Xenopus tropicalis: one gene and its partner. The protein of the gene in region 1 interacts with the protein of each later gene in a biochemical or structural test. Links are inferred from orthologs where the notes say so. Each region holds a gene or a part of one and is shown in the gene's direction. Other genes may lie near its edges. The genes, in order: ptch1 and shh.

Region 1 (3,834 bases):
TTTAATTAAGAATGTAAGTTTGTCAGCTCAGAGGAGGTTTTCTTTTGAAGGGAATTTGATAAGTGCTGTGAAATAGATCCCTTTTTACTCCAAACAACCTGTGGAGCTCTCGAAAATGACTAATCTCAGAAGTAACAGTGGTTCATTGTGGCAGATTGTTGTGGTACCCAAGAATAAGCCTGGAAGGCAAACCAAGGTTGGTGGAGGAAGGGTAACAATAACAGTGTATAAAAATAAGAGAAATATTGAGCATAGTAGATTGGAGGATCTGGCTATCTGTCACGCTAGGCAGAGTTTAAAAAGTAATGGTTTTACATTGGTCTAGCCACATGGATATACAGAGAACAAGTTTTTGTTTCAAGCTACACTTGAACCTTAATTATCTAGTGTTGTTGGACATAGTAAAGTTTCAGAAGTGCTTGGAGAAAACACTATCTTCGGAATCTTTGCTATTCCTACTGTATAGTGTGTATGTATAAATTCAGTTTCAAAATAAATAGTTTACTAAATATAACAAATTTGTTTTAAAACATTTCTCACATGGAAAAATAGTATTGTAAATATTTCATTTGTAACGGTTATTCTTGTATAATTTAATCTGTAAATATTGCCCTTTTACATCTTTTACCTTGAGCCACCATTTTCATCTACCTGACAGGAAATAATGCTGCTTTAACTATAACAGGTAGAAGTGTTATAGTAAAAAACGTTGTCCATGTAACATGTATGTGTGCTCTTGGTTTGTTGGTGCACACCGTGAATCGTATGAGCCCAGGGGGTGGCCCTAAGTACTTAAAATGTAAGGAGTACCCAATAGAACATACTTAACATTAAAAAAAGCACATTTTTATTAAATGGGTTATTTAGATGAAGCAGGGTTTAATATATGAGATGTTTTATGCAATATATTTTTATAGAGACCTACATTGTTCAGCAGTATAGTTTTCCTTTAACAAATGTAGGTGGATCATTTATTTTTTAGAACTGATGTCAAATCTGGCCTCCTTCGTCTTTGTTTTTTCCAGGGTGGATGTAGATTGATGAAAAGTTGTTCCCTTGTTCCAGGGGATTACCAGTGTTCCAGAGCTTTTGGACATTTAGAAAGATTAGCTCAGCAATCAACTCCACTAAGAACAGAGTAAATTAAGAGGCATTGTATATGCAAAGTAGACAGCAATATAATCATATTGTTTATTCAAGTGTAAGATGGATGACATGCAAATGTTTCTGAGGCCTGTTGTTGATACAAATCTCAGTCTCAAGTTCTGCTTTGTTTAGATTTAAGGAAGACATTGGGTTGTTGATAGTACTAATGGAGTTTTCTCAGATGTTTACAGAACCAGGGATATTTGTATGTTGTGATGTTTAAAAAAACACATTGGAAAACAAGACTTTGACTAGTACCAAGGTCCCGTTAACCCCTGTTCTGGATTTGTACAAACAAAAAAAAACTTAATTTGAGATTTACAGTATGCATTGTTATAAATCTATTAGCGACTAAAAGCTGGTTCTCAGTGTCATTACCTAAAATTTGATGGCAAACCTACAAAATGTAAAAGCTCTCCTTTGGAGCAGGGCTGCCCAACTGGTGGCTTTGGGTTCATTGCTGTGAACCAAGGATATTTATGGCCCCCAGACTGCCCAAATGAGATCTATAGATATATATATATATATATAGAACTTTTTTTTTTTTTTTAAATAAACCAGTTGAGAAATGTGTGCTATACTGGATAATTGCTTAATTACTTAGAAACAGTGGTAGGACACTGCTGTAGAGTAAAGCAGCTATCTGTGGCCCTCTAACTGTTGTAACTTTTAGCCATCCAGGATTCTGGCATTTGTACTTTGCAACAGCTGGAAGGCGCAGGAGTAAAGGACTAAAGCTGGTTAAGAGACTTTTTTGGTATTATTAAGTAATCCTTGACTGTAAGTCTTAGTGGTGGGAAACCACATCCATTTATGCATCCCCCCCACCCATTACTGCAGTCTTTATGTTTGAATTGGCTGACTCAAAACAAGAGTATTCAGAGATGCTAAATTGATCAACAAAAGATTAGCCTGCAATGCAGCTCAGCCATTGTGGAACCTTTTGCTCTGAACCGCGCTGGGGCATACCACAGAATGTAAAGCATTTTTCTTTCACAAAAACCTGATTTCCTTTCTTGAAAAAAACAACTGTATAATAATATAGTAAATGTGTAATACACTGATTGCATAAGGAGCTTGACTGAAACAGAATTTAATAATGATAAAAATGATAAAAAAAAAAGAGATTTAATTAGAAATTGTGCAGTAGGTCTTATGAGCATTTCACAGTGGATTAACCACTTGGAGAAGTGGCCTTTTCCCCTTGTAGACTAAATAGTTTAAATTCTACTCCTTTCCTTCATTTGTTTCCATCTTCTGGGCTCTCACTAATGGGGAGAGTGGAGGAGGGGCTGGTATTGTATTTGTGCTCTCATTCTTTTGCCCGTATTCACTTCAGATTCCATATTTTTTTTTTCTGCTTTGTGTTGCACCTCAATGAATAGCTGCAATTTATTGAAACTTTCTTATTGTTTAACAATATAACCCTTTTCTTTTCTTTTTAACTACTCTTTGAATTTGGGAAAGTAGCATTCAAGGTAAAAATAAAAAGTTTCTATAAATATGTTCTTTTGTGCTAATGTGTGATTTTTGTGTATTTTTTTTCTTGCATGTTTTATAAGTCAATTTAGTTGTTTGTATTACACACTACCAATCTCATCTAATATCTGAAACTGTTTGAGCTAAGATACTTACCAACATTTTTTTTTCTCCTAGGTACTTTTTTGCTGTCCTGGCAATTTTAACTCTTTTGGGTGTATTAAACGGCTTGGTGCTACTTCCTGTACTTCTGTCTTATTTTGGGCCTTATCCTGAGGTTTGTAACAGCTCTATAATGCCATAATTGTACAAGTTTAATGTTGTCCAGGTTAAGATGAGCTTGTGTTATTTCTTATAATACAAAAGTTTAAATGAGCCATGTGACACAGTTGACATCACTTTGCACCTTTGGTGACATCACATACAACCAATATATAACATAATTTAGTTTGCATATTATATAGATATTAATGTAAAATATGTCCTGCTGAAATAAAATGTGTAACACTTTTTTGTAGGTCTCTCCAACTAATGGCAGAGATAGACTTGAGTTTCCTCAAGAGCCACCACCAAATATTGTAAGATTCCCTGTGCATCCTAGACCGACGCAGAATGGGTCTGATTCCTCAGATTCAGAATATAGTTCTCAGACAACTGTATCAGGAATCAGTGAGGAGCTTCATCAGTATGATTCCCAGCAGTGTTCCAGAGCATCAACAAATCAAGTCTTCCTGGAAGCCAGAAGAAATCCAGCCTTTCCACGGTCCACTGTATGTGCCTCCAACTGTATTACTCACTCTTTGTGTGTGTGTATAATAGCAGTCAGCTATATATATATATATATATATATATATATATATATATATATATATATAGCTGACTGCTGCTACATTGTGTAGTAGTTAGAGAATTTAAACGTATACTAAAAATCTGAAAACTATAAATTATTTGTAATCAATGGGGGTCATTTATCAATTTATCAACACTGGACAAATTTGCCCATGGGCAGTAACCTATGGCAACCAATCAAATTGTTGCATTCATTGTTCTACCTGCAGCTGGCTGAAAAAAGCTAATCACTGATTGGTTGCTATGAGTTACTGCCCATGGGCAAATTTGCCCATTGTTGATAAATGAGCCCCAATGTATTTTGAAAAGTTGCTTACAAGTCTCGCATTATGCAAAAAAATATTTTTTAGTAGAGTTTCC
Region 2 (4,288 bases), on another chromosome or scaffold:
CTATCTATCTATCTATCTATCTATCATCTATCTATCTATCTATCTATCTATATATCATATATATGTCTGTCTGTCTATCTATCTATCTATCTATCTATATCACCTATCATCTATTTTTCATGTATGTATTCATCTAGCAAACTATCTATCTTTCTATCATCTGGCAAAATCCTATATCCTTCGATGTTTCTCTATCATCTGTTTGCATAATAGCTGAAGTTCTGGTTATCTCTCTGTTTCTATCTCTGTATCTCTATGTGTTATCTTTTTGGGTGTCTATATATGTCCTATCGGTGGTTCTATGTGCAAATTATATACTTTGTGTCCTTTATCACTCTGTTATCTATCTATCTGTCTATCTATTTATCTATCTATCCACCATCTATCTATAATCTATCTATCTGTCTATCATCTATCTATCTATCTATCTATCTATCTATCTATCTATCTATCATCAATCTATCTATCTATCTATCTATCTATCATCTATCTATCTATCTATCTATCATCTATCTATCTGTCTGTCCATCTATCCATTATCTATCTATCCATCATCGATCCTATCATGTAGAGAGAGAGAGATAGATAGATGATAGATGATAGATAGATAGATAGATAGATAGACAGATGGATATATAGATATAGATAGATCATATATAGATAGATGATAGATAGATAGATGATTGATAGATAGATAGATAGATAGATGATAGATAGATAGATAGATAGATAGATAGATAGATAGATAGATAGATGATAGATAGATATTGGTAATGTTACATATATCTATATGTATATATAGTATACACCATCAGGCACTTATATACCTGTAGATACATCTAAGGAAATACCCATTTGAGTTATTCTCTCTATACACGTATTTGTCTATGTACATGCATTCAAGGTCTAGTAGAATATGCTCAGGGGGTATTCTGTGTGTGCATGTATATATGTATATATGCCTGTGTGTGTGTCTGTGTGTTTGTATGTACAAAAACAGTGGCAGAGGTGTGTAGAAACAAAGAGAAAGAAAGAGCAAAGAGACAGATACACAGAGATAGAGAGACAGAGTTGTCAGTAGGATACATGGGGTTCCATAGGAGATATAGATCTGCAAACAGATAATTCTGTAAGTGACACTGTGGAAGCCTTTATTATCCCTGCTGCTGACAACTCTGTCATTTTGCCAAAAAAAAAAAAAAGTTTCAGTCTGTAACGCCTCCCCCCCCCTCCCAGCCCTCACCCATGAGACAATCCAACCTTGCCACTTGATGAGCTTTTCAAGGGTTAATCCAGACAGCTCTTGTCTGGCCCCAGCCAATCAGAGGCGGGCTGGGCTCGCTATAATATAGCTCTAAAGGCAGAGGCTCCTCTCACAGGCGGCTGCAGCCCTGCTTGCGCTTATTGCAATCGCAGCTTCTCATTTGCGCTTTAATTGCTGTGTCGCCTCTAAACCCCGATGTGTTCTGCTAGCGGGGACCTGCACACTGGGCTTTCTACACCTGCCTTGCTAGGGATCGGTGGCTAGTGGGGCCAGCCGGGAGGTACAAGGACACCCCAGTGCTCCAGCCAGTAGGGAGGCTGCAGCTCCACATCCTCCGAGCCTTTGATGTAATTGGCTTCGCTCGGACGAGATGCTGGTTGTGACTCGAATTCTGCTGCTGGGCTTCATCTGTACTCTGGTGGCCCCCCCTGGGCTGGCATGTGGACCTGGCAGAGGCATTGGCAAAAGGAGGCACCCTAAAAAACTCACCCCTTTAGCCTACAAGCAGTTCATCCCCAACGTGGCTGAGAAGACCCTGGGGGCCAGTGGTCGATACGAAGGAAAGATTACAAGGAACTCGGATCGATTTAAAGAGTTAACCCCCAATTATAACCCTGATATTATTTTTAAAGACGAGGAGAACACCGGAGCAGACCGACTCATGACTCAGGTACGGCCATACGTGGGGGGGTCGTGTAGGAAACCTATGGGGGGGGGGGTGGCTACACCTCTCAGGTGGTAAAGATACATTGATGATGGGTTTCTCTGTAACTGTCATTCTTACATTCGGGGGATGGCAGATACACTAGTTACTTCTCAGGTGGTTACCATATATTGATGACTGTAGTTGCCATTCTTACACCTCATTCAACCTGTTTCAACTCAGATCCATTTCTTCTGCCCCCATTGGCTTTAAAATACATTAGGACCCATGAATCAGGACTAAGCTATATATATATAGAAAGAGAACGAGAGAAGAAAATATATATATATATACACACACTAAATATTTCATTCATTCATTTGCTTACACGTCCCTTGGTCCCCTGGTTTAGCCAGTCCCCAGCCTTTAGCCCATACAAATGACCAGCTAAATCTCAATCGACCCCCCTGCACCCTGTCCCTTGTGTAAATCCCCCTTGTGGCACCCACACTGATCTCCAGCAAGGTGTGAGTAGAATGGGCAATGGGTGAGGGTATGTATGGGTGCCCACCGGTACCTTTGTCTGGAAGGGCTGCTGCACATTACATCATTGCTGATTAAATGGGATCTCCAGCTGATAGAGAGAGATCTGTTGGTTGGAAGCAGGAGCTGCTGGATAGAGTTGCAGAGTTTGTGCGACTGAGTGCGGCTGAGTGACAGGGAGGGAGGGGGCACATATATAGGTCAGGCTGATTCCCTGCACTTGCAATGTCCCAGATGTGTGGAGATACAGTATGGCAGCCAGGCGTGAAACCTCTAGCACAGGATCTATCTGGATATACCCCTGGCTCTATACTGCCGGGAGACTGTTACCCCTTAAGGGGGCACCTGAATCCTGCCAGGGGCTCTGTTGGCACAACCCCTCACCCTTGTCCTGGCCACACACCCATGCCTGGGAGGAATGGAAAGGCTATCAGCTCAGATGTCTATAGCCTTGGGTTAGTGTGTTCCTTAGGTATAGATACAGTGAAATAAATGTACCCTGGTATTTACTATCAGCCATATGTAACATTACTGATATATAGGCACTAGCTGTAGTTACATGATAGACAGAGAAAGCTAGAAGATATATGATAGATAGGTGATGATGATGATAGATATAGATAGATAGATAGATAGATAGATAGATAGATAGATAGATGATAGATAGATAGATAGATAGATAGATAGATAGATGATAGATAGATAGATAGATAGATAGATAGATGATAGATAGATAGATAAATGATAGATAGATGATAGATAGATAGATAGATAGATAGATAGATAGATTATAGATAGATAGATAGATAGATAGATGATAGATCTAGCGATAAAGAGACTGAGATGGATACATATATTGAGAATAGTAAATGCGCTAATATACACATATATATATATATATATATATATATATATATATATATATATATATACCGATACATGCTGGGCTGATGTGTATGGCAGATACAGGCAGTAGTACACACGGATCTATACAGATACAGACACATGAGGGTATACAGTATATACAGTATAAAGCTGTCAGGCAGTTACATACCGATATACACATATCTGTACAACCGGAGGGCAGCCGGGAGCCCCGGAGAGAGGCGATGAGCCCAGGGTACAGCTCCCTCCCGTCCCACTCAGGCTCATCCCTTATCTGCCCGGACCCATCAGCCTCTCACTTTGCTTCTATCGATCGGGCCGGTTGGGCTTTCAGCCTGTAGCCCCCTGAGCCGCGCTAATGGCCAATGCAGCTCCGTGTATGAGAAAGCTTAGCCTCTGTGATTAGCCACTCGCCAAGGCTTCTGCCACCTGTGGGCTATGGGCCACTACCTACACCTGCTGCTACTGCTGGGCTATTGATCTGTTCCTGCAAGCCATAGAGTAGCGCTATGTACAGAACTATAGAAACATCTACTAACTGGGGGAGAGGTCATTATGGGGATATCTAGATAAGAAAAACAGAGAAATCATAGAAGTACAACTGAACAACATACAAAAAGGGCATGGATGGGAGATGATAGATAGATAGATAGATAGATAGATAGATAGATATAGATAGATGATAAAGAGTGAGTGATGGGAATACATTAATGATACACAGATTACCTACAAATGATGAATAAGAAAGACATTTATTAGAGAGAGAGAAAGATAACTGACTGATAGTTTGTAGAGACTGGAGATTGATTCATGATTGACAATATGATGCATGTATAGGTAATTAAACTGCCAGACAGTTAATCTACATAGATGATAGACGGACATACAGTTAGAGATAGATAGATGATAGATAGATGGATAGCTAGAACGATAGTAGATAGATAGATGATAGA

Evidence for each region.
Region 2: the proteins of ptch1 (region 1) and shh are reported together in a solved structure, tested with the Homo sapiens proteins (5 studies listed by BioGRID and IntAct, with this or other methods). The link is inferred for Xenopus tropicalis from reciprocal best matches to the Homo sapiens genes PTCH1 and SHH.

What each region holds. Positions count from the first base shown.
Region 1 is NC_030677.2:135,818,592-135,822,425, reverse strand, and holds part of ptch1 (protein patched homolog 1), read left to right. Parts: intron 1-2,616; exon of another isoform or gene 2,617-2,624; intron 2,625-2,802; coding exon 2,803-2,902; intron 2,903-3,143; coding exon 3,144-3,395; intron 3,396-3,834.
Region 2 is NC_030682.2:17,020,378-17,024,665, reverse strand, and holds the start of shh (sonic hedgehog protein), read left to right. Parts: upstream 1-1,356; 5' UTR 1,357-1,634; coding exon 1,635-1,934; intron 1,935-4,288.